Alligator mississippiensis: one gene and its partners. The main gene of each other region encodes a partner of the protein of the gene in region 4 in a complex. Links are inferred from orthologs where the notes say so. Each region holds a gene or a part of one and is shown on either strand. Other genes may lie near its edges. The genes, in order: DPF1, ACTL6B, SMARCD3 and ARID1B.

Region 1 (7,017 bases), on a different chromosome or scaffold from region 4:
GGTCTTACCCCACCATGTTTGGAGCTGGGAGTATTTGGGGGGTAAGGAGGGTCCTGGGGGGCTTGGGGCCATGGTAGGGGGTCATGTGGGGGGCAGGGAGGAGCACTTCTTGGGGGACAGGGAGAGGGGTCCTCACCTGCAGCCCCCCTGTTCTAGAGGTTGTGGAGAGGGCTGGGAGCACTTGGGGGATGGGTAGCCTGGGGCTGTGGTGGGGGTACGTGTAGGGGGCTTTTGGGTGGGGCTGGGTCTCCCGGGGGGTGGGGGGTGGATCTTGGGGGTGGCAGCAGTGGGTACCTTGGTCTGGGTCTCAGGAAAGGTCTGATCCCCATTGCCCCCCAGCAGAGGCTGCGGCCGCCCCGGCCGCCCCCGCCGTCACCGCTGCCGCCGCCTCGTCAGCACCCCCCGTCCCCGTGCAGCCAGGCGGCGGGTCACCGTCAGCAGGCGCCGGAGCAGGCATGGCGGAGCCGGGGGCACCAGCGGGCGCGGAGGGTGGGGGCCGGCCGCAGGCCATCCCACGGCGCCACGCGCCCCTGGAGCAGCTGGTTCGCCAGGGCTCCTTCCGCGGCTTCCCTGCGCTCAGCCAGCGCAACTCGCCCTTCAAGCGCCAGCTCTCGCTGCGCCTCAACGACCTGCCCTCCACGCTGCAGCGCCGCGGTCTGTACCGCCAGCCCGGGCCTGGTGAGCCACCGCCGCGGGAGGGGGGCTGCAGGGGGGTCAGATCGGGGTTCATTCCCACCTTGTCTCTGCGCCCTAGTGCTGGAGATGGAGCCCACGCCCCCCGGCGACGCCGACGGCATCACCGCACTTTGCAGCCAAATCGACGCCTCGCTCGGCGCTACTGCTCCCCCCGGTGCCACCGCCCCCAGTCCGCCCCTGCCTGCTGCCCCAGGTACTGCCCCGCCCACTCAGGGCTCAGCAGAGGTGGCCATGCCTCTTCCTATGGCCACGCCCCTAGGCAGCAGCAGCATGTCTAGCTATGGCCACACCCCCTGATGGCAGCTGTGCTCCAGCTGTGGTCACGCCTTCAGTAAAGCCACACCCCTGCTCTCAACTATGATCCCTATATGGCCACACCCCATTATGGGCGCCCCCCTCCCCCCCCCCCAACAGTATGGGCACACCTACTGCTTGCAACTACACTCCCTATGTGCCCACACCCGTAAACTGGCCACACTCCCTCTTGGCCCCACCCCCAGATATGACCACACCCCCTATTGGCCATGCCCCCAGGTGTGGCCACGCCCCCAGACATGACTACAACTCTAGTGACCACACCCCTATTTGCCCTCCTGTATGGCCACGCCCCTACTGTGGTCACGCCCCCACCCCCAGGTCCCCCATCCACCGCCGAGCTGCCCTGACCCTTGTCTCCTTCCCTGCAGCCACCTGGGGAGTGCCGGCGCCGGCCCCAGACCCCGTGGCGCCCGCACCCCCCGTCGCGCCGGGACACCGGCGCACACCATCGGAGGCCGAGCGGTGGCTGGAGGAGGTGGCCACGGCCGCCAAGGCCACACAGCCGCCGCCTCCCCTGCCTGCACCTGCCATGGTGGCCCTGCCCGTGGCGCTGCCCGTGGCCCCGCTGCCCCCCTACGCCCTGGGCTATGAGGCAGCACCCACGGCCCTGAGCTTCTTTGCTGCCCCCCCTAGCTTCATGCCCCTGGGTGCCTGTCCCCCCCCTGGCCTGCCCTACGCCGCCCCCCACGTGCCCCTGGTCGGCCTCACCCCCTCCCAGATGGTGGCCAACGTCTTCTGCTCTGCTGCCCGCTCCGGCCCCCCCCCCAAGCCCAAGCCGGCGGCCGCCCCCTGGCCCCCCGAGACAGCTGCGCAGCCCCCCGTGCCCCCCGCGACCGACCCCTTCGAGGCACAGTGGGCGGCACTGGAGACCAAGCCCCCCGCGCCCCCCAACCCCTTCGCTGGCGACAGGCCGAAGACCTTCGAGATCGAGCTGTGAGCCGGGGGGCGCCCTTGCTGAGCCCCTGGACCCGAGATGAGGGTCCTGGTTTGCCAGGGGGAGGCTAAAAGGGGTATGAACCCCCCCTCCTGTGGCCCATGTGGGTTAACGGGGGTGCAGGACCCCCCCAAAGTTCCCTGTGAAGCCCCCCAGGCCCGGCCTGCACCTAGGGGTGCCTTAATCCCCCTCCCCATCTCATGGGGGGGGCATCTGTAAGCAGGGGTGCTGGGAACAGCAGGAGACCCCCCCACACACACTTTATACTGGGGGGGTCTAGAGGGTCTCTTCTCCCCCCCCACCCCCAATTTTATGTCTGTTCTTTTTAACTTAAAATCCAGATTTTTGTATTTTTGTCTAATCCCCCCCAGGTCTTCCCGCAGCCCCCTGGGGTTTGGGGGGAGCAACATGTGTTAACCCTTTGTGTTCCAGCCCCCAGCCCAGCTGGTGGGGTCCAGGCCTAGCCAACCCCCCCCCCCACCCCATTCTCCAGGTTGGGGGAGGGTCATGCAGTGGGTGGGGTCCTCTACTTTATTCCCCCACCCCAATGGCCCCAGGGCATTGTGGGGCAGGCTGGGGAAGCCCCGGCCCAGCTGGTGGGACGGGGCTGGCCCCCCCCCACTCTGGGGCCGCGTGCGGGTTTGTATCATAGAGCTGCCAATAAACAAGAGTCCTAGAAGAGCCGCCTGGAGCCCTGTTTGTGGGGGGGCGGGGGGGGCATTCTCATGGCTTTGGCTTGATCATGCCCTGTTGGTCACTTCCTGTCCCAAATACGCCCCCCCCCCACCCAGGCAGCTGCCACATGGGGAAGAGGGCAGGGCCTGGGGAGGCACAAACGTCCCCCAGCTCCAGGGCCAGAAGGCCAAGCCTGACCTCTGACCCCGGGGCAGGGAAGGGCCTGCAGTGGCTGCAGGTGTCGTCCCTGGGTGGCCCAGTGGCTCACCATGTTGGGGGGGGGGGGGACAGTCGGGGCCTCGCCCTTTGACTCCTGGGGGGGGTTGCTTTTGCCCGGGGGGGGGCCCAGCCTGCTCCCAGGGGATTGTGGGGGGGGAGGGGGGAGAAATATATTTTTATGGCCTTTTTTGCTCGCTTTCGGAAATGGATCCCTCGCGGTTGCCATGGGAACCGGCAGGGAGGGATGCTCCAGAGCTCTTAAAGGCACCGCGCTGCCCGGGGTGGGGCCAGGCTGGGGGGGGGGGGGCAGGGAGGGTTGAGTGGGGGTCAGGGCAAGAAGCTTTGGGGAGGGGGTTAGAGGCGGGGGGCAGCTCTGGGCTCCCTGTGCAGCTGGGAGAAGGGGGGGCAGGGTCTGCCATGGTGCCATGCCTCAGTTTCCCCAGCTGTAGAAGGGGTCGGGCAGGGGCCCAGTTGCCTGGGGGGGGCGGGTGGAGCGGGAGCCCAGATACCTGGGTTGTCCCCCAGGTCCCAGGGGGGAGGGGAGTCTGCGGGGTTAGAAATGGGGCAGGGGGGCTGGGGTCTCGTCGGGCCCAGGCCTCCTCGGGGGCTCGGCTGGCCGAGAGCAAGGGGCCGGGCAGCACCCGAGGGGCCCGATCCTGGGTGGGGGTCTAGGTGGCACCTGGCATAAGCGGGGGCCCCGATCCTGGGTGGGGGGTCTAGGCAGTGCCAGGCGCATGCGGGGGCCCCGATCCTGGCAGCGCCTGGCACAATGGCCCCGATTCTGGCTGCGGCGCCTGGCACAAGTGGGGTAACCCCGAGCCTGCTGGTGCCTGGCATGGGGGCCCCGATCTGGGGTGGGGGTCCGGGCAGCGCTTGGCACCACTCTGCGGGGCCCGATCCTGGATCCCTGCATCCACTAGTCCTCATTCCCTCCAACCCCCCCAAGGGAAACTGAGGCACAGGGAGAGGGCAGCCACAACCCCCCCCCCCCCAGCAGCTCTCACCTGCACCTGCCCTCACCCCCCCCTGCTGACAGACACCCCCGCTCGCCTCTGCCAGCCAATCTGTGTCCTCCTGGGGGGCGGGCCTTGCAGCTGTCAAACGCAAGGCATGCTGGGACTTGTAGTCCTCCCACCCACCCTAGTAGCCCCCCCTTCTCCCCCCCCACCCACTGCGGTGATGTGCAAAGCTGGGGAGGGGGGGCCTGGATGGAGGGGGCTGGGGGGGACGGACTGCATCCCCCAGCATGCACTGGGGCGGGGGGGGCCGCCCCCTCCCCCCCACCCCCCCGCTGCGGGCTGGGAATGAATGAAATCGCCCCGGATTCCGATGCGAGAAGTGAAAAACCCACCGTGCAAAATGGCCACGGCGGTGCACAAGCCGCTGGAGGGGTGAGAGCCGGGGGCTGCGGGGCGGCAGCCAGAGCGCCGCAGGCCTGAGCCGGGGCGGCAGTGGGGGGCACCGGCGGGGATGGGGGTCGGGAGCGAGGGGCACCGGTGGGGCTGGGTGGGAGAGGAGGGGAGGGGAGGGGGGGCTGCAGGGCGGGAGTGAGGGGCACTGCCAGGGCTGGGGGTCGGGAGCGAGGCGCACCGGCGGGGCTGGGGGTCGGGGGCGCGGGGCTGGGGCAGGAGGGAGGGGGCTGCCGGTCGGGAGCGAGGGGCACCGTCTTGCCACCTGGCTGCACCCCAGATGCGGCCCCAAGCGGGGTGTCGCTGGGCGGGGGGGGGGGGCCGGCAGGGCCTAAATCCTGTTCCCTGCGCTGCCTGGGTGGGGGCACCCTCGGGCCAGGGTCGTGCCCCCCCAGCCGGGCAGGGCCCTGGGGTCACCTGGGGGCAGCACCTGGTCCTGATGAGGAAGGTGGGGGGGGTGACTGGGTCAGAGGGGTGCAGAGGTGGGGAGAGAGCCCAGCGTCCGCACCCCCGGGCCCCCCCGCAGACCCCACCCCCACCAGCGCTGGGGGGAGCCCAAGCGTCCGCGCCCCCGGCCCCTGCGCCAACCCCCGGCCCAGACACCCCGGGTGTCCGGCTTGGAAGGGAACTGGGGGCAGGGGGGGCAATCGGGGCAGGTGCTGGCCTGGGTCCTCTCCCTGCCCAGAGCCAGATGTGCGTGGGGCAGGGGTTGGGCATGGGCACCCTTGTGTACAGCAGGGCAAGGGTTAATCAGGGGGTCAGCCTGGGACCACCCCCCCCCCCCGTCAGGAGCCTAGGGGTCACCCGGGGTCATCTGAGCTGCTGCCCAACCTCCCATGGTGCCCCTCACCCCCCCCCTTGGCTGCTCAGTGCTGCCCCCTGGCACAGGTGCCAGAGCCGACCCCTCGGCAGCTCCCGCGAAAGGTCACGGGTCATCCCATGGTGGCCTTGCAGTCAGAGGCCTTGGCGCTATTTGGGGGGGGGGCACGGCTCATCCCGGGAGGGTCCGTGCTCGCTGCTGGGTCCAGGCCCCCCCGGGTGGAGCCAGCGCAGGGTCCCCAAGGCTGCTTGGAGTCACGGTGGTGGGAGGGGTGGGGGGCAGGGGCAGAGCAGGGGGGGTCAGGGCAGGTGGGAGGGGCGCAACGGGGGCCTGGCAGGGGTCTGACCCCCCCCCCCGACCCCCCCGCACAGCCTGGGCGAGGACTTCTACCGCGAGGCCATCGAGCACTGTCGCAGCTACAACGCGCGGCTCTGCGCCGAGCGCAGCATGCGCCTGCCCTTCCTCGACTCGCAGACCGGCGTCGCCCAGAGCAACTGCTACATCTGGATGGAGAAGACCCACCGTGGCCCCGGTGAGACCCCCACCCCGCCCCCGTCCCACCACCCCCTCCCGCCGGTGCCCCTCGCTCCCGGCCCGCAGCCCCCTGCCCCCCTAGCCCTGCTAAGCTGGGGGGGCGAGGCTGGCTCGGATGGGTTGTGGGGGGCGGGGGGGGGGGGGTCTCCAGGCTCATGCTACCCCCCGCCAGGCCTGGCCCCGGGGCAGATCTATACCTACCCGGCGCGCTGCTGGCGCAAGAAGCGGCGACTGAACATCCTGGAGGACCCGCGACTGCGGCCGTGTGAGTTCAAGATCGGTAAGGACCGCGGTGGGGGGCGGCTGGGGGATAGGGCCGGGGTCCGGCCGGATCTGACGTGCCCCCCCCCCCCCCCAACCGCCCCCCAGACTGCGAGGCGCCCCTGAAGAAGGAGGGGGGGCTGCCCGAGGGGCCGGTGCTGGAGGCGCTGCTCTGCGCCGAGACGGGCGACAAGAAGACGGAGCTGAAGGAGGAGGAGATGGTGCTGGACTGTCAGGTGAGACCCCCCCCCCCCAACCGCCCGGCCCCCCCCACGGGGACCCCTGCCCCAGGCAGGTGCCCTAGAGCGACCCCCTCCCCCATTGCAGAAGCCCCCGATGGGCGAGTTCCCGCACGACCTGGAGGGCGACGAGCTGGACGACGACCTCCCGCGGAGGAAGAACAAGGCCAAGGGCAAGGTCGGGGGGGGGTCCCTGCCGCCCCCAGGGCCTGGGACGGCGGGTTGGGGTCCGGCCTGGCGTGCGAAAAGAGGGAGGCGGGGGAGTCTCCCCGGAAATTTGTGACCTCCCTCCTTCTCCCTGCGCCCCCCCCCCCCCACCCCCACCAGGCGTACGGGATCGGGGGCATGCGCAAGAGGCAGGATGCGGCCACGCTGGAGGACCGGGACAAGCCCTACGTCTGCGACAGTGAGTGTGCGACGTGGGTGTCCAGGCGGGGCGGGGGGCTCAGCCCCTCTGCCCCAGCTACGAGCCGCAGGGGACCCAGGTGTCCGGACAAGGGGGCAGACGGGGGCCCCCAACCTCCAGCTCCTGCTCTTGGGGGACCCCAGGTGTCTGGGGGGGGGAGGAGGGGGCTGGGTCTACAGCCCCCTCCCAACCCTAGGCTCGGGGGACCCATGGGTCCAGGCAGGGCAGGGGGTTGGGGCTACAGGCCCCCCCAGCTCTAGTCTCAGGGGAGCTAGGGGTCTGGGGCAAAGGGCGGGAGCTGGAGGGGTCCCCCAGCTGCTGGCCATAGATCGGGGGTGGGGGGCAGTCGTGGTCTCAGGGCCCCCACAGGTCCCAGTTGCGGGGGAGCGAGCCCAGGCGTCCGGGCGGGGGCTCTGACCGTGTGTCCGCCCCCCCAGTCTGCGGGAAGCGCTACAAGAACCGCCCGGGGCTGAGCTACCACTACACGCACACGCACCTGGCCGAGG
Region 2 (7,228 bases), on a different chromosome or scaffold from region 4:
AGATGTGAAGCCATGTCCCCGCCCCTCCCCCCCTCAGAGTTCGCCCTTCTCAAAGCACAGGGAATGGACCCAGGCATCTGGGGACCTCTCCCTCTGGCTCCCAGAGGGGACCCAGACATCCAGGCTGCCTCCTCTGTGCCCCCTGGGGAACCCAGGTGTCCAGGTGGGGGATCTCACCCTGCTGCAGGATGTAGCCGTCGTGCACCGGGATGGCGGTGGTATGGGTGGCGCCACTGTCCAGCACCAGCCCCGTGCTGCGCCCATTGGCAAAGCTGACCCCTGAGTCAAGGCTTGGACACCTGGGTTCTCTGCCTGCCCTGGGCAGGAGTGGACCTGGATGCTTGTGTTCTCTGCTGGGCCCAGGGGGGCATGGGGGGAGGCTGTCTGGGATACATGCTGAGCTCATGGTGCGGGGGTGGGGCTGGGGCCCCTGGAGGGGAGGTCCTGGACTGGAACCCAGGTGTCCTGGTGTTCCACTCCCTTCCTCCATAGAGTATGTTGTGACCAGGAGGGTCTGGGGAGACATACTTGGGGAGCACAGCAGGGGGGACATTGAGGGATATGCAGTGAGGATGGTGGTCGTACAGAGGAAGGTAGGGTCCCAAGGGTTTGGGGGTATCCCAGGGGGTGGTCTGGGTGAATCCCAGGGGGATACAAGGTGAGCATGGCAGGGGTTCTGGGGGGCTATGAGGGGTCCCAGGGGGTGTCCCAGGGGTGGGGGGGATATGCAGTGAGCACGACGGTCTTGCAGAGGAAGAAGAGAGAGTCTGGGGGTGGTGGTCTCCAGGGGGTTGGATACGCGGTGAGTACAGCGGTCTTGCAGAGGAAGAAAGCCGGGATGTTGTAGTGCTCGAACATCAGCTCCGTCAGCTTCTCCCGCTTGGCCCGCGTGTTCCACTACGGGGACATGGGCCGCTTGCTAGGGCAATGGGGGGGGTCTAGTTGCCATGGGGATGGGGGGGTGACCTGGTTGCCATGGGGCATGCAGGGCCTGGTTGCTATAGGACATGCAGGGGTGTCCGATTGCTATGGAGATGGGATCCTGTTGCTACAGGATAGGCAAGTGGCCGAGTTACTATGGAGAGAGGGATATTGTTGCTATGGGACATGTAGGGGGTCTGGGTGCTATGGAGATGCACACCCTTGTTGCTATGGGGATCAGAGCCCCTATTGTTGTGGAGATGGGAGCTGTGTTTGCTATGGGACAGGCAGGGGGTCGGGTTCCTATGGAGCCCAGATTCCAGTTGCTATGGAACAGGTGGGGGGGGGTCCAGTTACTTGGAGATGGGAGCCCAGTTGCTATGGTACATGCAGGGCCTGGTCGCTATGAAGATAGGGGCCCAGTTGCTATGGGACACGCAGGGCCTGGTTGCCATGGGCACACACAGATGGGGACAGTGGTAGCCGGGGGCACATGCTGTTGCCATGGGGAAGATGGGGTGGTGGTTTCTGGATGGGGGGAGGGGGAACACACAGTTGCCATGGGGAGGACATGGAGCAGTTGCCGGGGGCAGTTGCTGCGACGATGGGCACGTACCGGCGCCTCGGACATGAGCACCGGGTGCAGGCCAGGCTCCGACTTGATGTGCTTGCTGTAGGTGTGGTCCAGGATGGCCTGGAAGCACTCCCAGTCCTCCACTGGGGGGCAGGGAGCAGGGTCAGCTGACTGGCCCTGCCCCCTGCACCACAAGGTGCAGCACCGGGTGTCAGGGAGTGTGGCCACAGGGTAGGGGTGGGGGTGGGGCCTCTGCCCCCCTGCTATTATGGGTGGGGGCATGGCCTAGGATGTAGGGGGTGTGGTCAGAGCCAGGGGCGTGGCTTGTTCTGTAGGGGGCAGGGCTGGTTTGGGCATGGTCAGAGCCTAGGGGGTGGGGCATGGGTTGTGGGGGTGGGGTGTACAGGTGTGGCCAGAGCCAAGGGGGTGTGGCTGGGTTTAGCCATGGCTAGACCCAAGGGGGTGTGGCCAGTCCTGTAGGGAGGCAGGGCTAGGTACGGGTGTGACCAGAGCCAAGGGGGTGTGACCTGGGCCTAGGAGGGCATAGCCTGGCTCCTGCCCAGGGCAGCCACCTATGGGGGTGGGGCCTGGCGGCCTGGGGACAGGGCCAGGGCTCACCCATGCCGTTCTTGAGAGGGGAGAGGACCTCGGCAGCCTCGCGGGGCACATGCAGTGCATTGGTGTCGATGTAGTAGGCCTTGCCACCCTTCTTGTCCTTGTCGCCGTCCAGCTCCAGCACTGCCTCCTCGTGCGACTGCAGCCCCACGCTGGTGGGGAAGTCCGCCTGGGGCGGGGGTCAGCACAGTGCCCCAGCCCTGATCCTGGCTCCAATCCCCGATCTGATCCCCGAGCCTGGCCCCCATTTCCCACTCCCAGCCCCTGGGCCCAATCATGAACCCCAATCCCCAATCCTGGACCCCAGCCCCATCCCAGCCTCTGATCCCAGATCCCAGCCCCATAGACCCCACCCCAGCCCCCCAGTTCCGATCCTGACCCCCAAGCCCGGATCCTGGCCCCATGCTAGATGCAGAGCATGCAACATCCCTCAGAGGGCCCAACCCGGGATGGGGAGGGGGCTTCACCTTCAAACCTACTCCCCACCCCACAGCCCAGAGGCCCTGATCCAGGACTCGCGTACCTTGGGGCAGTCCTCGCCTGCATAGCCGGCTCGGACCGAGAAGGAGCCGATGTCAAAGACCAGTGCCCCGACTTCATCTGGGGAGAAGACAGCACGTGAGACCCCTCCCCATGCAGCTGTGCCTGGGGGGGGGGGGGGGGGGCCGGACTGGGTAGAATGACAGAATGCCTCGGTTCTCGATAGGGGGTCCCGGGCCCCTGGGTTGTCTCTCGCGGGGGGTCCCGGGTCCCTGCATTCTCTATGGGGCCCGGACGGGTGCCCCCCCCGCACCTCCCCCATAGACGCCTCCGCTCATCCTGGCTCGGCAGCAGGTCCCAGCGGCGCGGCTGGTTCAGCACCGCGGCGACGGACAGCGTCCGGGGGGGCGGGGGAGGAAGAGCGGCCGCAGCCAATCCCAGGGCCGTCCCCTCCCGGCGCAGCTCCCGATTGGCTGGCCGGGCAGACAATGAGTGACAATTGAGCTGCTTCTTAAAGGGGCAGGCGGGAGATTTTTTTTGAGCTGGGGCGGACGACTGGGTTCTCCCCGAGCTCCCGGGAGCACGTGCATGGGATGCAGGCTGGAACGGGGCAGGGCTAGGGTATGGGATGGAGGCGCGGCTAATTATGCAAATCACAGCACGGGGGAGGCGGGGCTAGGGGTGGTGAGGTGAAGGGGTGCCTTAGCCTGGACTGCACCACAGCTGTGCTGGGGGGGTTATTTCTTTCTCAGGCTGGGTGTGGTGGGGCGTGATTTGGTATCGCCCTGCTTCCCCTCTCATGAAAGCAGTTGGTTTCTCCCACGTTCCCCCACCTAGTTAGTCTGGTCCATCCTAGTCCCCTCCCACCACCACCCCCGCTAGGAATGTGTTGGCCTCTCCCGTTCTCCCCCCCTCCCCGAACAGAGAGTTGGTATCACCCTCCCCCCCTTATCTTGGGTTTGGTGTTTCTCATTCCACCCCACTTGGTATCACCTATCCCCCCATGCCCAGTGAGTTGTTCCCTCCCACTCCGCCCCTCAGCACCAAGAGAGTTGATATCACCCACCCCTACACCCTGTGAAGTGGTCTCTCCCACTCCCACCTCCCCCGCCATTGAGACAGTTGGTATCACCCACCCCTCTACCTGTTCCCTCCATAGCTACTGTATTGGTCTCTCCCATCTCCTCCCACCGCAGTCAGAGTTGGTATCACCCACCCCTTCTCCCGCTATAGGGAATTGGTCTCTTCAACTCCCCCTACACCGAGACTTGGTATCACCCACCTCCTCCCCCCAGATCCAGTGACTTGGTCTCTCCGAGCCCTCCCCCCACCCTCAGTTGTGCTGGGCGCCCTCGAGCGAGTCCTCCACGCCATAGAAGGCTGGACCTGAGTGAGTCCTCTGCACCATAGAGGCGGGAGGTAGACAGTCTTCCGAACCATAGAGTCCCACCTCCTAGACCGGCCCCTAGCGAGTCCTCTACGTTAGAGAGGGCTGAGACCTAGTCAGTCCTCCGCACCAGAGGCTGGGGCTAGAGAGTCCCCAGCGAGTCCTCCACGCCAGCTAGGGCCGCGGCCCGGAGAGGCGCGTGGTTAGAGCGTCCCCCGCCCCCTGCCACCACCTCTACGCGCTTCCGGCGCGGCCCCGTTTCCGCTTCCGCCGCGCGCGCTGCGGTCGCCTCGCGCCGAGCGGAGCCAGTGTCACCCCAGGCCCCCCTCAACCCCTGAGGTGCGGGGGGGCGCTGGGCTTCTGGGGAGGGGTTTCCATGGAAACGGGGGTGGGCTTGCCATAGCAACGGGAGGGGGGCGCCTTAGCGGGTGGGGGCTTTAGGGGGTGTGGGGGTCGCCATGGCAACGAAGGGTGTGGGAGGGGTCTGGGGTATCCATGGCAACAGTTGCTTGGGGTGATGGGGGACTGGACCCCCGGAGCAGCCGCTGATATCTCCCTTCCCCAGGCATTAGCGATGGGAGACAGCGACGATGAGTACGACCGGCGGCGCCGCGACAAGTTCCGGCGTGAGCGCAGCGATTACGACCGCTCGCGGGAGCGCGACGACCGGCGGCGCGATGACTGGAACGACCGGTGGGGGCCAGGCCGGGACGCCCGGCTGGGGGGGGTGACAGGGCCGGGATGCGCCCAGCTCTGGGGTAGAGCACAGCCAGGTGTAACAGCACCAGGGATGTAGCCAGCTCTAGGGTGGGAAGAGCAGGGAGGTATAGCAAGCGGGGTTAAAGTGCAGCTGGCTCAGGGAGAGGGAGAGGGCCAGGCTAGGTAGAACAAGCCTGGATGCACCCAGCCCTGGGGAGGGGGTATGTGGGGACAGCAGAGGGAGATGTTGCCCCCGTGCCTTTAATTCCTTCCCCTAATCTGGCAGGGATTGGGACCGTGGGCGGGAGCGCCGCAGCCGGGGCGAGTACCGAGACTATGACCGGAACCGGCGGGAGCGCTTCTCCCCGCCCCGCCATGAGCTCAGCCCCCCACAGAAGCGCATGCGCCGGGACTGGTGAGTCCAACCCCCTCATCCCTCCCCACGCCCCCCCCCATGGGTTGACCGCTTCTGACACCCCTGTTTCTCCCTGCAGGGATGAGCACAGCGGGGACCCCTACCACAGCGGCTACGAGATGCCCTACAGCGGGGGGGGCGCCGGGCCAGCCTACGGCCCCCCCCAGCCCTGGGCACACCCTGACATGCATGTCATGCAGCATCACATCTTGCCTATCCAGGCAAGGTAAGTGTGTGCCCTTTGTCCTCTAACCTCCCAACTCCCATCTGCCCTGTCCTCAGCTTCTACCCCGACATCTCTGCCCCCCCCACTAGGCTGGGGAACATCGCGGAGGTGGACCTGGGCATGGCGCCACCTGTGATGAAGAGCTTCAAGGAGTTCCTGCTGTCCCTGGACGACTCGGTGGATGAGACGGAGGCTGTGAAGCGCTACAATGATTACAAGCTGGATTTCCGGCGCCAGCAGATGCAGGACTTCTTCCTGGCCCACAAGGATGAGGAATGGTACGTCCCGCCCCCCCTGGAGTCCCGGTCCCCATGTAGGAGTGAGAAGTGGTGTGTTTCCTTCCATACCATAGTGAGGAATAGTACGTCTTGGTCCCCCACAAGTATCAGGAATGGTTTTTTTCTTATCCTCGTACAAGAATGAGGAATGGCATGTCCCATCCCGTCCGCCCGCCCCCCCCGCCCCGAATGAGGAATGGTGCATCCTATTCACCCCCTAAGAATAAGGAGTGGCATGTCATTCCCCCCCCAAGAGTGGAGAATGGTATGCCCCATTCTCCCCCCCACCAAGAGTGGGGAGTTACTGTACATCCTGTCATGTCCCCCCCTCATCAGAAATGGTATTTCCCATTCCTCCCTTCCCCAGGAACAAGCAGTGCTGTGTCCTATTTCTCAGAGATCTGAGGAATGGCACGTTTTATTTCTGCTGAGGATGAAGAATGGTATGTCCCATTTCTCATCAGGATGAGCAATGGTACATCTCATTTCTCTCAAAGATGAAGAATCATGTGTGTGTGCCCCCACACAGCTGCCCCACCCCTGAAGAATGAGGAATGGTGCAGACCACCCACAGCTCTATTCTCTTCACCCCCATCCCCCCCAGGGTTCGGTATGGGACCTGGGAACCAGCAGCGGGGTGAAACTGGTCCCAATTAAGGGCAGGAGATTGGGGGTGGGGCCAGTGCTCCCCTTCCCCAATGTACAGCCCGGCCCCTGCTGTGTTCTTTGGCTCCTTCCATGCCGGACTCCTGGGTTCCTTCTACTCTCGCAGCCCCACCGCCCAGTCTCCCCAGTAACAGACAGGCCCTGGGGACTGTCTCCAGACTGGTCCCAGTATAGATCTCAGTGTAAACCCCAACTCCGAGGTAGCCACATTATAGCACCCGCGTCCTGTTCCACCCAGCCTGGCCTCCCAGAGCTGGGCGCATCCAGGCCTGCTCTACCCATCCATGCCCCTCTGGGCGTACCTGGGCCTGTTACACCCAGCCTGACACCCTCCCCACCCCCCGAGCTATGCATATCCTGTCCTGTTCTACCCAGCCTGGTTCTCCCAGAGCTGGGTGCATCCAAGCCTGTTCCACCTATCCACGCCCCTCCCCAGAACAAGCTGCATCTCCCATTGCTCCGAGGGGGGCCCTGTTACACCCTGAGAACCCAGGCGTCCTGCAAGCTGACAGCCCCCTCCTTAAAAAAACCAAACAAACCACAAACTCCAATCTATACCTGAAACCCCAATTCTTGCATTTTTCCCTTTAAATTCTTCTCCCTTTGTTAGCTTTTGACTTTTTTCTCTTAACGAGTCCGTCTCCGTTCCATTGTGGATGTTAATTATAACTCACCCTTCTTTTCCCCCCCCCCCCACGTCCTCCTCCACCCGGTTCCCAGCCAGAAAGGAGAGAAGCCAATTAAGCTGCCCGCCTGCGGAGAGACCAAAAATAGCCGTTTTTTTTTCCATTATTTTCTTTTTTCCGGTGCCAATCCCGGTGCTTTCGGCGCTACCGACTCCCGGCGGCTGCCTCCCCATCCGGGCCCTCGTTAGCCAGACAGCCAGGGCCCGCCCACCACGCACAATGTGGTGCCTTAGAACTACGTAAAAGTCGGCAGGAATTAGACAGAGAGGCCGGGAAATTTG
Region 3 (8,016 bases), on a different chromosome or scaffold from region 4:
GGGCTCTGACTTTGCAGAGGCAGCGGTGGGGGGGAGAGTGCCCCCACATGCCCTGGGGGTGTGATCTGGACCTGCTGGCAGGGGCAGGTCCTTTGCTCGCTCACCTGCTCCTCCGTGATGGTCAGCATTGCAAGACCTTCCTCTCTTACTTGTTGCACAGATGGTTTTGTTTTCCATGTTGGAGATGGATTGAGAAGCAGCAGGAAGATGGGGCGTGCACGGAGGTAGAGCAGTAAGTTACCAGTGTGGTGATTGTGGGCGCAGCCACGTAAGTAGGTAAGAAAGCCCAGAGAGGAGGCCACAGAAAGAGCGACGTTGCAGCTGGCAGTGACCCCTATATGCATATCGGGGGCCTGACGCTTACAGTATAGAATAAGGTTGTGACCTCCTAGTGACTAGCTAATGGGATGAAGTTCAGTGCTGCCAAAAGCAAGGTGTGGCACTTGTGGGAGGCTAATCAAAAATGCAGCTACAAATTGGGTGACACCCAGCTGGATGGGAGAATTCGGGGAGAGGTCTGGGAGTCCCCATGGATCGGGCTCCACAGGAGTTGGCAGCATGATGCAGCCGCACAAAAGGTGAGTGCGGTTTTGGGCTGCATCAGGTGCAAGACATGGGATGGGAGCATGCCTCTCTGCGTGGCACTGGTTAGGCCTCACCGAAATAACTGTGTTGCTTTCGGCTCCGTGTTTTAAAAAAGGATGCAGAGAACTTGGAGAGGATTCGGAGATGGGTGCCTTCTTCGGCGGCGCTGGCTGTTGCTGCAGCAGGCTGAGGGCTGCGCAGCTGCTGTGCCAGCGCTCCTGCTGGGACTGAAACCCACAGGTTCCTGGCTGGACGCTCTTGCCCCGGCCCCGGGTCCTGCCTGGGATCTCTCCAGCGTATATTAACAAGCTGTGTAGCAGCAGGACGTCGGTTGCCCTGATGCCCCTGCGTTCCCCGCCACAGGGTCAGGTGCGGTGCCCAGTGCCGCACCAGGGTTGACTGCAGGCTGCCCGAGAGGCTGCACAGCGGATTTGTCTGGGATGGTTTGGGCAAAGGCTGGACTAGACGCGACCTCTGGAGGCCCCTTGCAGCCCCACGAGAGCACGCGTTCGCAGCCGGTCTCTGAAACGTGGTGTGCCGGGGGAAAGGCCTGGTCTTCCTCCTGTGGAAATCCCCCTGGCTTTTGCTAAACAAAACGAAGGAGGGAGTCCTGGCTCTTGGTCAGGAGCCCCAGCAGCTTCAGCCACCTCTTGTAAGTGTCTCAAGCGCCAAGCACCGGGCGAAGGCGGCTGTGACCACGTCAGTCCCTGCCCAGCCCTTCTCCCCGCACCGTTCTGGTTAGGGATCGCGGCACCTGGAGCGCGCGCTCGCTCTGCCAGACGGCGCTGGGCGTGCTGGCGCCGGGCCCAGGAGACGAGCCCGTTCTGCGCCGGCAGGCTGAGGAGCAGGAGCGCGGGGCAGGCCGGCAGCAGGGCCGGGTGAGGGGCTGCTGCGGAGGCTCGCTGCCCGCCAAGGCCCGGTGGCCTTGCCTCTGGTGGCACACCGGCAGGCACTGGTCAGGCCTCGCCCCCGGGCAGGCGTTAGGGCAGCACTTCCACGGGGCGGCTGCGGGGCCGGGTGTCGGGGCGGTGCTCGCCGCGCCGTGGATGCTGGCGAGGCGGCTGCGGGGCCTGGCATTAGGGCGGTGGTTGCCGTGCGATGGATGCTGGTGAGGGGCGGTGATTGCTGTGTGGTGGACACAGGTGAGGGGTGGCTGTGGGGCCCGGCGTTAGGGCGGTGCTCGCCACACGGTGGATGTGGCTGAGGGGTGGTCACAGGGCCGGGTGTCGGGGCGGTGGTTGCCGCGTGGTGGACGGTGGCTGGAGGGCGCTGAGCAAAGGGCGGCTGAGAGGCCAGGTGCGGGGGCGGTGGTTGCGGTGCGCTGGACGTGGACGTGGACGTGGGCGCGGGGCGGCTGCGGGGCCTGGCGTCAGGGTGGCGTTTGCCACAGGGTGGATGCGGGCGCGGGGCGGTGGTCGCGGTGCGGACGTGGAGCGCGGGGCGGGGTGCGAGGGTGGTCGTGGTGTGGTGGCTGGGGGGCCGGGGCGCTCCCGGCCTCGCTCGGGCCCAGAGCCGCGGCGGGGCCGGGACCCCGCACCGGCACCCCCCGAGGCGGGCGGGCGCTCCCCCGCGGCCGGGCCGGGCCGGGCTCCGGGCGCGAGGGGGTTAAGGCGCCCGCCCCGCCCCTCCCCCCGCTCCCGCAGCCGGGCCGCGCCGCGCCGCGCCGCGGGCTGACCTTCACGGCCCCGCGCATGCGCCCCGCGGCTCCCGGCCCGGCTCGGCTCGGCTCGGTTCGGCGCGGCCCGGCAGCTGCGAGCGCCACGGGGCGGGCCCGGGCGGGCGGGCGGGGCGGGAGCGGGGCGCGGGGCCGCTGCCATTCGGCGCTTCGGTGGCTGGAGCCGACGTGGGGCGCCGAGAGGGGGGCTCCGCGGGCCCCGCGCAGCGCCCGGCCCGGCCCGGCCGTGCCCGCCAGGCCTGGGCGTGCCCCTGCGGTGTCCTGCGTGTGTCTGCACAGGACCCCGTGTGTCTGTGTGCGTGCAAAACCCTGCTTGTTCATGCAAGTGTGCACGGGATCCCACCTACTGTCGCACGTGCACGCGTGTGAGACGCCACGTGCCGACGCGTACCTGCGCTCCTGCCTGTTGGTGGGCGTGTGAGACCCGGCGCACACGTGCGCGCCTGGTGTGCGGCCCTGCACGCGTGCCCCACCCCGGCGCATGGGGGACGCAGGCCGTCCAGCCTGTTTGTGGCGAGCCCCCGCGCCGCGGCAGGGGCCGGCCGCGCCATCAGGGCCTGGAGCCGGCCGCGGCCCCGTGCCCTCCCGCTGCCCCGGGCGGCCTGGCCGGGCTGGGCTAGCGCTCCCTCCAGAACGGCGTCTCGGCACGTGCAGGCAGGGCCGGCCCGCTCTGCGGGCGCAGCAGCTTGCGCCCCCCCCCCGTGGAGGGATCCAGGGAGACGGCCCCAGCATCCTCTTGCCGCGGAGGCGGGAGCGTCCCAGCCGTGGGCGCGGTGCCCGGCCACGAGGAGCGGGACGAAGGCAGGGAGGGCGCATCCTGCGTCGGAGGATGCTTCTGTTGCAGAGACGTGGGCCTGGTGCTGCCCACCAAACAGGGACCCGGAGCCGGGGTTCAGCAGGACGGCGGCCTGCCACGCGCTGCCCAGCGCCCCTGTCCCCCCGGCTCCTGGAATCCCCCCAGGGAGCCCCACGCAAGTGCCGGGGTTGAGCTGCCTGGTCCCCATGCCTCGGGGTGGGAGCTGCGGCGCGGCGCGCTTGCAGCTCGTCCAGGGTCTCCTCCACGTGGTTCTGGCTGCAGCAGTTGGGTCAGCGACCGCGAGAGATCGGTCGCTTCCCGGCTCCTGGACAGGAATTGCGAGCAGGAGGGAAGGATAAACCCTCCTGTAACCTGGCAACGTGTCTCTTGCTGTGGCAGCAAACCCTGGCAGGCTGCGGGCGCATGCGGAGCTGTCAGCGAGCAGATTGCTGCCCCAGGCCACGGCTGCGGTGATGGAGGAGCCAGTGCAGCGGAGCGCAGAATGGCGGCCGCTCCAGCAGCCCGGCAGCACCCGCACCTTTCCCGCCGGCTTGGGCGCTGGGAGCAGGCGAAGGCTGTGAAACCCATCTTCCCTCCTCTTCTGCTGCCCCATCCCTCCCTTCTCCCCTTCCCTGGGCGTGGCGGGGCGCGCCGCATCCCTGGGGACAACGTGCTTTGTCGTGCACGTGAGGCTTTGTGTTGCACGCTGCTGCCGCTCACGCGGGGCAGCATGTACAGCGTTAATGATTTGTCTGTGTGCATCCATCCATCACGGGGGTCTGTGACAGGGCTGGGACAGTGGGCCGCGAGCATCTCGAGGGCAGGGCGCCTAGCCGGGGAGGCGATCGGGATGCTGCGGGCAGGCAGGCGGGGAAGCCAGCCACACATTGTGCCCTGCCGTCGCCATGCTGCGCTGCCTCCTTGGCGCACGCTCCCCCTCCGCCTGCCTCCCTCTCCTCACACTCTTTCCTTCCCCTCGCTTGCGCGCTGCCCTTCCTTTCCCCGGATTTCTGTCTCCTGCTGGTGCCGCGCTTGTCCGGAGGGGCTTGTTCTTAGCCTTCTGTGCTGGAAATCCTGCCAGTGAATGTTTCTGTGCTGCCTGCCACGTCCCTGGGGAGAAGGCCTGGGAATGCAGTGCTGGAGGAGACCAAGACAGCTATTGTTCCCCACGGCTGCCGGGTGCTTTCTTTAGCTGGCAGAGCCTCCCTGCGAGCTGCTCCATGTCCTTGCCGGAGCTCCCCCTGCACCCCAGGGCCCAGGATCCTGTGGCGCTGGAGAGGAGAGGCTGCAGTGCTGCTGCTGGAAGGCTCAGACGTGTTTTCAGTTTGCCTCCCGCTTATCTCTGCTGTTTGGACAGAGAGGTTTAAAAGGCTGGATTTTCTGTCCCTGCAGAGTAAACACACAGACCCGGGCAGCACAAACTATTTCTGGCTTATCAGTTGAGGAATGCAGCAGCTGAGGATTAGCGGGAGTGGGCCGTCAGGAAGGCCCTGAAGGGGCCCCCTCCCCACTCCGCTCTATTAGAAGTGTGAGAGCCCAGCAGGACTCAGAGGGGAGAGTTGGAGAAAAAGGCAGAAAAGGGAAAGAAAGAGGCAGAGGGAGAGGAGAGAGGCTGAGCCGACCCGATGGCCACGGATGAAGTTGCCGGCGGGGCTCGCAAAGCCACGAAAAGCAAACTTTTTGAGTTTCTGGTCCACGGGGTGGTGAGTCGGGAAAGTTAGAGAGCTGGCTGGTGCTGAACAGAGGGATGAGCGAGCCAGGCGCCAGGGCTGGGCTGGGAGCAGCCCTGCCGTGTGCCCTGGGTGCTGGCTGGCGGTCCACGCCGCGTGGCAGGAGCAGGGGATGGGCCCAGCTCCGTGGGCAGGCGTTGGGGTGAGGTGTGCAGCGGTCATTGCTTCTGACGCTGTGGGAATGGGGGGGCGGGTTTGCTTCCAGACCGGTTCCGGGGCAGGGGCCAGAGCGGATCCGACCCCTGCGGTCTCGCAGGGCGCCTGGTTCTGCAGTTCAGCTCCTGCTGCGTGCAGGGATGCTGGGAAAGCCCTGTGCCGCGGGGCGCGGGACTTGTCTGTGGACTTGGCTCTCGTGTGTCCCCTGGCTACCTAACAGGTGACTTCCAGGGGCTCCAGGAGACTAGCTGTGCGCTCGTTGCTGGGGAGCCTCAAGCTGCCATACTTTGGGCACCCTCAACATCCTTGTAGCCTTCCTGTGGCCATTGGAGGCCTCCTGACATTCAAGGGATTGCCATTCGTGAGGGCATGCCTTCCTCCGCCTTGTGTGTCCCTCCGGGGCTCCCAGCAGTGACGGAGAACAATTGCAGCTTGTGACATTGGGGTTTCTTAAGGAGACGTCAGTGTAACAGAAGGCGCAGTGCTGGGGAGTCTGAGGAGCGCGAAGGCTGAGTGGCTGTCAGAGCTTGCGTGCACTTTCTCTTGAGGACCTGGGATCTGCTTGCAGTGGCACCCTCTTCCAAGCCGTCACAGAGGGCTCTGCGTTAGAGTCCAGCAGCCCACGGTGCTGCCCCTTTGGCGGCCTGGCTCTTGCCCTCGGTTTGCTTGCCTGGAGCGTGACGTCTTTGACAAACCCCCGAGATGGGGCGATCCGGACCTGCCAGCCTAGGGCAGTGTGAGCAGCATGCCGTTTATATGAGAACAGCATCCTAGTGACCGCGGCACTGGGGACCCGCAGGATTAGTGACTGGCAAATGAGCACTGGTTGTGAGCAGTGCCCTTGGTCGTACAGCTCGAGTCTGGGGGCAGGCCAGCCTGTGGGGTAGCACGCCTGCCAACGGGCAGGCCTGTGCAGCAGACTGTGAACGGGGGGTGACCTAAGGGTAGAGCTGAATGCATGGGGCAGTCTGCTGGCTGGCACATGCGGACGGCCTGTGGGGCAGTGCAGCACGGGGTGGGCATGTGAGGCGGCCTGGGAGTCGGGAGCACGTGGGTGGCCTTTTAAAGGGTCAAGTGTTCTCTTGGCAATGACAGGCCAACGCACTCCCTTCAGTACCGGGGACAATGGCTGAAGCGGTGGTGAAGAGACCCCCTCTCACCTGTGGGTGGGTGAGGGGTGTCAGGGTCAGTCATAGATTCATAGATGCTGGGGTCGGAAGGGACCTCAACAGATCATGGAGTCCAACCCCCTGCCTAGGCAGGAAAGAGTGCTGGGGTCAGATGAGAGTCAGGCTGAAGTCAGGCTTTCTGATGCAGAACTGGGCCTCTCCAGCGCTGGAACTGCCTGAGGATGTTGACAGTAGTGGATGACCAAAAACTGGCTTCCGCTGTGTGCTTGGCCTTCCAAAGAGCCTTTGCTGTAGTTTGTCGCCATGCAGGCGGCATTGGAGACTGGCTGCCTCGTCCGCGAGGGGATTGCAGGCTCCAGCATCGCTCCGCGCATGTGGCTGCAGTCAGGCAGATGTCTGGGGCGGAGGTCGCTGGTGCCGGTGTGGCACAGCTCTCCTCAGAGCAGCCCACTGCTCCTTAGCAAGGCCCCGCAGGCCTGCCCCAGCAGCTTCTCCTCCCACTCCCTGGGCAGTGGAGCCCTGGCATTATGTTGTGTGTTTTCCTTTTACTGCTGCACTGACCCTGATCTACTCTTTTAGTTCCTTCACCTCCGTTCTTGCCTCCTTCCTTGTCCTTCTCTGGACGTGGGCACAGCCAAGTCTCCTCCACCAGAAGGAGAGTCTCTCCTGACCTCACCTGTCTCGCCAGCCTGCGCTCCTTCATCTCTGCTCTGGCCCCTGTGCTCCTCCATCTCCGCCTCCAAAACGACTGAAGGAGCCGTCACAGCTGCTGCCTGCGCTCTCATTTCTCTAGCCACTCGGCCTCAGGCTGCAATGGGTCATGCAGTTTCCGTGTAAAAGCGAAGGCAGCAGCAGAGTCTCTGATAGTGTCCATGAGGCTGTAGCTCTTGATATGGGGGCAGAAGTGCTTGAGGTGATAACTGATGAGTTTTCTGTCAGGGAGGGGCGCCAGTGTCCTCAGCAGTGTTGTTGCCAGTGGTGGAAAGGATTTTGGAGAGAAGACTCTTGCCACATTTCCTGGGGACTGAGACTGGACTTCCCGAATCCCTGTCGGCACACACTTTGTCACCAGCTCTTGTGTCATCGTTCTGGGCTCTGCCCCTCTCCTCCATCTCTGGTCCTGACCCTCTCTTTGCTCTACCCCAGTGATCCTCAGCTGGGCGGTACAAGACCCTATCAAGGGTCATGCACATTATGAGTCCTGTTAGGTGTCCAGACACTTACACATGATTCATAAGATAAACCCAGAGATTTCAAACAGGAATCCCCAGCATCACAAACTTTCAGACCTGCTGTGGTCCCTCTTGCTTTCTTGTCACAGAAGAATTGCTCTTATTTTTCCATGGTCGAGAAATGAGTGACAATGAAGAGGTGGCATTTTCTGCGGGGGCCTGGAGCCTCACAAGGTGTGTCTTGAGTCTGGAAAGGTTGAGAACCTCTGCATTATCCAGACTGGTCTCGTGATGGGCAAGATCTTGAAGCCTGTGCTGTAGCCTCATTCTCCTTAACTCCATGATGGCCTTTGCTGCTGACAACCACACCTTCCTGAAATCGCTTTCTTGGCACTCCTGTCCTTTTATGGTCCCTGCCTACCTCAAGCCTGCTTTAACAGGTCCTCCTCAGCCTGTCTTGGTGGACACCTCTGAAGGCCCTATCTCTGGCCTGTCCTTTTCCCCTCTCTGCACCCTGTTTGCAGTGCTCTGATCCAAAACCCTGCCGGTAACCATCTTTATGCTGATATACCAGTCTGCTGGTCAGCTTTCTCCCTTCCTTTAACCAGTAGCACATTCTCACTTGCCTTTTCTGGCATCTGTTCTGGGTGTCCAGCCATCAAGTAAGCTCAGCTTGAATAAAACAGAGGTATTAATCTCCTACAAACCATCACCTTTCTACCTGGTGCTGCCCCGGCCGGTCGCGTGGACCTCCTCTTTGGTCTCTTTCCTT
Region 4 (7,033 bases):
CTGTGAGCGCTACTGCTCAGTTATTATTTGTGGCAAGAATTTTTGTGACTGTATTGCTCAGCACTTCTATTTACATCAGCAGTGCTAAATGCCCAATGGTGAGAGAGGAGCCAATCAGATGGCAGATTAGATGTCAACTCAGAGGCAGCTGTCTGGAGACTATTACAGCCAGTTTACCTCCACAATTCAAATTCCAAACCTTGCAAAGGAGATCAAGTCACTCTTTAGGTTCAGACTGCTAGCAAGAAACACCAAGAGCGCAAAGCCCTTTCTAATCAAGCCCTTGACTTTGGAGGAGGACAAAAAAAAAATAGCCAGCTATACAGAGCATCCAACAATCATTTGCTATCTATTGATTTAGTAATATATTGGATTTAGCTAATCAGTCGCCTGCATTCGTCCAAACAAGCAGGGCTTTCAGGGGCTAGGCCTGTTTCTACAAAGGAAGGACTCTGCTGCTCTAATTGGGGACCATGCATGCCTGGACGGGCACGGCTTGCTCCAAACACCCCCCGCACTTCTACCAACGGGTTATTCTTGTCTCGGGGAGCAGACACGCGCGCACCAGCGAGGTCTAGGACGGATCTCGGGGCGGATCAGGGGACCCTTCGCCACTACGGCACGCACGTTTCGAGCCGCCAGAAGGAACCTGGCAGTGTTTGGAGCGCCTTCCCAACAATGAACTCATCTGGGTAAAAAGGCAGGACAGAGCTCTTTGCTCTGGAGGGTTGGGGGGGGGAGAAAGAGACAAATTTAAAAAAAAAAATCCTGATGGAGACTGATCAATATCCGCTCCCAGGCGCTGCTGGAGTGGTCAGAAAAGCAGCACCTTCCCTCTGCATCCCTTCTCCCACCCTCCCCACCCCACTTTGGGACTGGGGCCCTGCAATCCCTGGCTCAAAACAGACGGCAAAGGCTTGGGGGCTTGAGGGGAGGCACAAATAAGCTGGAAAAAAAAGCGACACAGCCCACGGCCTACATCCAGCCCACCCCAGAGGCTCCCCGGCCTAGCCAGAGGCGGGCATGGGGACACCCCCTTGCCATAGAGTTGAGCAACAAGCAACCAACCCGGCAAAGAAATCGGGGCTCCTGCCACCCGCCCGCCCGCCCACACGCGTGAGGGGAGGGGAGGGGAGGGCACCCCTGGCCCTCACCCTGCGGTTACCTGGGTCCTGCTGAGGGGCTGCGCGGTGCTGCCCGGGCTCATGGCCGGGTGACTCCTTTGTTGCGCCGCTGCCCAGGCCGGGCTGGCCGCCCCGTACTGCGAGCCCATGTCCTTGGCCAGGCCCATGCCCGCCGCTGCCTGCTGGCTGCCGGGGGCCGCGGCGGCCGCCTGCGCCTGCGGCTGGGGCTGGGGCGGCGGGGCGCCGGGGCTGCTGTACTCGGCGTAGCCGCTGCCGTAGCTCCTCATCATGGGGCTGGGGGACGTGAGCAGCTGGTTGAGCGTCGGCGTGGCCCCGGACGGGTGCGGGCTCTGGCTGGAGAAGCGCTGGAAGCCGCCGCCCGCCGCCGCCGCCTTGCCCAGGCCGCCCGCCGCGCCGGGGCCCAGCATCACGCCGCCGCCCTGCTGCCGGGGCGAGCTCAGCACCCCGTACGAGCCCGCATACGCGCCGCTGGCTCCTCCCGCGCCCGCCGCCGCCGCTGCTGCCGCCGCGCCGCCGGTCCGGCCGTAGCCGGGGTAGTGGTTGTACTGGCTGTTGGCGAAGCCCTCATGGGAGTTGTGCAGGGGGTCCATGCCGCTGGGGGCCGCCGCGGGGTGCATCAGCCCCATCCCGGGGCTTTGTTGTCCGCCATGTTGATCAAAGCAAGGCCCGGCGCGGCCGGCGGCGGCGGAGCTGCTGCCGCCGCCGCCGCTGCCCGGGGCCGCGCCGGGGCCGAAGTAGGCGCTGAAGTCGGCGCCCAAGCCGCTGCCCGCGCCGGGGGGAGGCGGCGGCGCTGGCGCTGGCTGCTGCGGCGGCGGCGCTGGCTGCTGCTGCTGCTGCGCGCCCAGCGCCGGGTGCTCGTAGCGCGGCTCGCCCAGCTTCTCCTCCTCCTCCTCCTCCTCCTCCTCCGGGCCGCCTTTGCTCAGCAGGGGCGGCGGCGGCTCGGCCTGGGCGCCCCCCGCGCCGTCCTTGCCTCCATGTTGCTGCTCCATGTCTGCACTGGGCTGCGCAGCGCCGCTCTTCTGCATGGCATGGTGCGGAGCCGCCGCCTGCTGCTGCGGCGGCGGCGGCGGCTGCTGTTGCTGTTGCGGCGGGAAGGCGCCGAGGTGGTGGTGGTGGTGGTGGTGGGCATGGTGCAGGGCATGGTGCGGGTGCAGCGCCTCGCCGCCCTTCAGCTTGTGGTTGGGGAGCAGCCCCGCGTCCATCGGGGCCGCGCCGCCGCCGTCCTTGTCCGCGTTGTTGGCCGTGCCCAGCTCGGCGCGGTGCTGCAGGACGCTGCCCAGGCCGCCGCCGTCCCCGGCGCCCAGCATGGAGCCCCCGCCGCCGCCCGCCGCCGCGCCGCGCTCCTGGCTCAGGCTGCCCGGCAAGCCCGGCGCTTTGCCCTTGCTGTTGTTCGCCCCCGCCGGAGCCGCTGCCACTTGCGCGGCCATGATCATGGCAACATTGCGAGGCCCGGGGAGGAGGAGGAGGAGGAGGGGTGGGGGGGGGAGCCGCACAAAACAGAGAAGAAGAAGAAGAAGAAGAATTAAAAAACGCAGCAGAGGAAAGAGACGGGCTCCGGGGAGGGGACCCGCACACGCCCGCCGCCGCACACGCGAAATTTACCGCAGCTCCCCTCCCCGCGTGTCCGGGGCGGCCGTGGGTCCGTGCCTGCTCCGGCTGCCTCCCTCGCTGCTGCTGCTGGAAGCAAGCGGGGGTGGTGGTGGGTTTCTTTCTTTCTTTTTTTTTTTCAAGGGGGGGGGATTTTTTTTCCTTTTTTTTTGTTGGTTCGGGTTTTAAATGAAACTTTTTTTTCTTGCCTTTTCCTCCCTCACCCGGATATGGGGAAATACACGTCTGACTGAGCCGCTCCGGCCCAGCATGGCATGGGAGAGCGAGCGAGAGAGAGAGAGAGCGAGCTCCGACAACTATTATCCACTTCTCTCGGCCTGCCGCCGCGCGCCTGGAAAACGCGGACTGGACTTTCCCTCCCTCCTGCTCCGCAGCCGCCGCCGCCGCGCGCGGGGAGGGCAGGAGAGGAGAGGAGGCTACCTCGGGAGTCCCGCACCTTTCTGGGGAAGGTTGGGCTCCCCGCTTTTCTTTTTCTTTTTCTTTTTCTTTTTTTGCCTGGCAAGGACCCCAGTGTTAGAGAGAGGGAGACAGAGAGGGAGCAGGAACCCTAGTGTTAGAGTGAGAGAGAGAGAGAGGGGTAACCGCAGCATAACAGAGAGAGGTGACCAGGGCCCTGGCAAAGAAGTTTGGCACGTGGGGCAAAGCCCACAGCAGCAGCCCGCCCTTGTCTCATGCACAGATCCAGGAAGCACATGTCCCCTCATACTTGCCGAGGAGCGAATGCAGCAGCAAGAGCTGCCCTCCCCGTGTCCCCATGCCCCCCCTCCCCGCCATGAGCTGTTTGTGGCTCTGTCCCACCCCCGGCCCAGTTAGGCAGGGCCTGTTGGCATCCCTGTCACTTTGGTGCCTGGGGTGGCCACCCCACTCAACCAATCCCTTGCTACAGCACTGGAGGTGACCCTAGTTTTGGAGAGAGAGAAAGGTGGACCATAGTGTTATAGAGAGAAAAAGAGAGAGGTGGCCCTAGTGCTAGAGAGAGAGCAGTGACCCCAGTGTTAGAAAGAGGGGTGACCCAAGTGTTAGAGATAATGAGAGAGAGCAAGGTAACCCTAGTGTTATAGAAAGAGAGAGGTGGCCCTAGTTCTAGAGAGCGAGATAGGTGACCCTAGTGTGAGAGAGAGAAAAGTAACCTTAGTGTTAGGGAGAGAAAGAGGTGACCCTAGCGTGAGAGAGAGAGGTTACCCTACTGCGGAGGTTTGCAACCTTTATTTCATTTGCAGACTGATAAAAAATTTCAAATGGAGGCACGGACCCCTTTGGAAGTTTTGAATGGAGATGCGGACTCCTTTGAATTGTAAGTGTGCAGGTATTCTTAATACTTTTAATTGATGGTAGTCGTCTTTTACAGACCCCTTAGGCTCCCGGGGCTCCGCAGACCACAAGTTGGAAACCACTGCCCTAGTGTTAGAGAGATACAGAGCTAGAGGGGTGACCCTAGTGTCAGAGAGAGGGTGGGGAGAAAACTCACTTGGTCCAGTTCATTCCCTCATCTTTTGTACAGAGCCTAATCGTGTATGAAACTGATGCTCCAGTTCCTCTAAATCCAAAAGCCAAGAACTAGGCAGCCGTGGGTCAAATCCAGCACAGATAAAACTCAGCTAGAATAGAAAGCACTTCCATCAGGAAGGAATTTAGCTCTCCTCCTAAGTATGTTTTGGGTCCTGGTCAAATGTAGTCTGGGAGCTAAAGTGGGGCAAGAGAACAACCCAAACACCTTGTGGGTGCTGCATACTTTTGGGTTAAGAAGAAAAACAAAAACCTAGTGAAATTTGCCAAACCTCTAACCTGTTTCTGAGTCCACCTTGCAGTGTTCAAAAGCTTTCTCCTGCTATTCTTAAGAGGAATGCAGTGTACTGGCTGTGATGATTTGATGAAAAAATAAAATACGATTTTACAACAATGTCTTTGGTGTGCAGAGGTTTGTAAAATACAATGTGAAATTCAGCGACGGGCATTTTCGCACTTGTCTCTAGTGTCCGGCTGGCTCAAAATCCTAGGGATTGTTTGAACTAATTATGTCTTTAATGTAACTGTTAGGTTTGGGGCTGTTTTCAACACATCCTTTGTATTTCTATGCAGATCAAGAGGACTTAAAGAGAGTAAAACATTTTCAGTGTTACAATCACATCCACAAACATTATTCCAGGATAGGCTAGATGTTAGTGGAAATGTAGTAATATAAAGTACAGTGTGTGAGCAAAGCAACATTTACTCAGCATTAAACTGTTACATTAATAATAATGACTTTCATTTATATAGTAGCCCTTTCGGCAAGTGCTGGTGGTTAGTTCTTTTAAATAACTGCTTTGATTCACGTAATAACTTGATATACATAAAGGTAACAGTCATATGCAAGATTTAACTGGTAAAATGAGGGGGAAAATCAACTAGCTTTTTCCGGACATCAGCAAAATAGGATATTAATGTTATTTTGTCAAGATTTAAATTCATTACTTGGCATAAATATTTTATCACAATGTTTTAAACAGCTGTATTTTCTGGAAGACAGTGTTATGAATAGGAAGGCATATTGTGTCCATTGTGAAAACATTGAAAAACAGAAGCTTCATGATATAATGTTGACTTACACTCAAAGATTATTGAAACATGTATGAACAACGCATGTCCGGTGTTTATTGACTTCTTAACTGCTGTGCAGCAAAATCAGAAAATATTAGGACTTCCATTATGAAGTTAGTTTGCAAGTCTCAGAATTTGTCAACTATGTGTTGATAACACTTGTATTTCAGCTACATCCAACCTTGCTTTTTTTTTTTTCTTTTGGTACTGCAAGTGTAGAAATGTTATACGGTTAGCAGAAAACGAGAGTGTGGAAAAAATTGGTGAGTAATTCTAGTGGGGGGAATCAGGTGCATACCCAAGGGTCATTACAGCCTGCAACAACAACAAATTGCAATTCTATGCAAACTGCGAGAAAGAGGGTATATCATCTTTGTAGAAAAGAGAATAACAGAACTGTAAGATGAATTCATGCCAAATCATTCATCAGCTTTTGCCAAGAGAATACTACATCTTTGTTAGTGAGCCTTTTTGACATTTTCTCCTGGATTTTCTTCTTTTCCATATTCAAACACACACTAATTATACACATTAAACCACATAAGTTGATTTTTGAAGTCTTTCATATGCAAATATAAATATAGAGGTCTACTTGTGTCTATTTATTTATGTGTGTGTTCTAAAATCAAATACAAAATCAATTACACATTTATGCTTTTAGACATTAATGTAAAAGTGTGTATGTGTGTATACGGGTATATATAAAAATGTGATAAGATGTACTGAAGGTAGCTCACTTGAGGATTACAATACTTTCTGACTTACTTGGTAACTAGTTCTGAACAGGAAAATAAGCCACAAAGTTTAACACAGATTTACTTTTAAAATATTTTCCCTGGAAAAAAAGTGAGGACTCTTCAGCACTGAAAAGTTTATACTAAAATGTGTCCTTCCATTTATTTCAGCAAGTCAGCTACAAGATTGGAACTAAAAGGCTATAAAATAGAGGCCCTCAGCACAATGAAATCAGTCTGTTATAAAAGGCAACACATGCCAGTTTTTCCTCCCCAATGGCAGATGCCACACCCTAAAGTAGACAGAAGGCACTGCAGTCTGTGCAAGTGAAGCACGACACAAAGCAACTATGGTTCAGTTTTTTAGATCGCAAATAATGTAGAAATATACCTTTTGCTATCTTTGCTCAGATGATGAGTGGTAGTGTATGTTAAATTCAAATGATCCTTTCCAAAAGCTCTCTCCATATGTATGAATTATGAATATAAATGCATATAATGTAGAAAGCTGTAATTGCCATGCATATTATCTGTTGCAAAATGACTAGATCAAGTTTTTAGTCTTACAAGTGTACAACTGCAACTTTGTATTTAAATTTTGATCATTTCTTCAATGTTATTATTTCTTAAAAATGTATGTTATTTAATACAGTACTGGTTCCTTTTGCATAAACCATTGCTATATACTCCTACTGAATGTTGATTTTTTTTGATAAAATTTAGAACTCTGCTCTAGGATCAGTTTCCCAGATTAACGTTACAATTTTCTAAACTTACTGTTGTTGATTCTGACACCTGTGCAGATCCCTAGGCCATCTTTGTTTAGGTGGTCCAGTATGAACACCATATACCTTTCACAGCCGTAAGACAGCCTTCTGCTTGGCCAAAGCAAATTTTATAAAATAAAAGGAGCAAAAGTATGAAAAGTAATAGTGAATAGATGCATAGAAAATAAACCAATACTTT

Evidence for each region.
Region 1: ARID1B (region 4) and DPF1 share a complex: the UniProt entries of both Homo sapiens proteins name them as parts of the neuron-specific chromatin remodeling complex. The link is inferred for Alligator mississippiensis from reciprocal best matches to the Homo sapiens genes ARID1B and DPF1.
Region 2: ARID1B (region 4) and ACTL6B share a complex: the UniProt entries of both Homo sapiens proteins name them as parts of the neuron-specific chromatin remodeling complex. The link is inferred for Alligator mississippiensis from reciprocal best matches to the Homo sapiens genes ARID1B and ACTL6B.
Region 3: ARID1B (region 4) and SMARCD3 share a complex: the UniProt entries of both Homo sapiens proteins name them as parts of the neuron-specific chromatin remodeling complex. The link is inferred for Alligator mississippiensis from reciprocal best matches to the Homo sapiens genes ARID1B and SMARCD3.

Annotation. Positions count from the first base shown.
Region 1 is NC_081838.1:2,408,818-2,415,834, forward strand, and holds the start of DPF1 (zinc finger protein neuro-d4), read left to right. Parts: upstream 1-4,011; 5' UTR 4,012-4,050; coding exon of another isoform or gene 4,051-4,150; coding exon 4,151-4,233; intron 4,234-5,442; coding exon 5,443-5,603; intron 5,604-5,777; coding exon 5,778-5,885; intron 5,886-5,974; coding exon 5,975-6,102; intron 6,103-6,193; coding exon 6,194-6,283; intron 6,284-6,432; coding exon 6,433-6,511; intron 6,512-6,948; coding exon 6,949-7,017. Other genes in the region: NUMBL (numb-like protein), read left to right, coding at 340-678, 755-889, 1,383-1,951. UniProt on the Homo sapiens protein: May have an important role in developing neurons by participating in regulation of cell survival, possibly as a neurospecific transcription factor. Belongs to the neuron-specific chromatin remodeling complex (nBAF complex).
Region 2 is NC_081838.1:23,998,617-24,005,844, reverse strand, and holds the start of ACTL6B (actin-like protein 6B), read right to left. Parts: upstream 3,011-7,228; 5' UTR 2,929-3,010; coding exon 2,904-2,928; intron 2,711-2,903; coding exon 2,634-2,710; intron 2,280-2,633; coding exon 2,114-2,279; intron 1,639-2,113; coding exon 1,538-1,638; intron 898-1,537; coding exon 800-897; intron 273-799; coding exon 178-272; intron 1-177. Other genes in the region: SRRT (serrate RNA effector molecule homolog), read left to right, coding at 4,552-4,670, 4,963-5,091, 5,171-5,317, 5,407-5,595. UniProt on the Homo sapiens protein: Involved in transcriptional activation and repression of select genes by chromatin remodeling (alteration of DNA-nucleosome topology).
Region 3 is NC_081828.1:220,569,176-220,577,191, forward strand, and holds the start of SMARCD3 (SWI/SNF-related matrix-associated actin-dependent regulator of chromatin subfamily D member 3), read left to right. Parts: upstream 1-5,000; 5' UTR 5,001-8,016. UniProt on the Homo sapiens protein: Involved in transcriptional activation and repression of select genes by chromatin remodeling (alteration of DNA-nucleosome topology).
Region 4 is NC_081824.1:135,152,958-135,159,990, reverse strand, and holds the start of ARID1B (AT-rich interactive domain-containing protein 1B), read right to left. Parts: upstream 3,001-7,033; 5' UTR 2,579-3,000; coding exon 1,166-2,578; intron 1-1,165. UniProt on the Homo sapiens protein: Involved in transcriptional activation and repression of select genes by chromatin remodeling (alteration of DNA-nucleosome topology).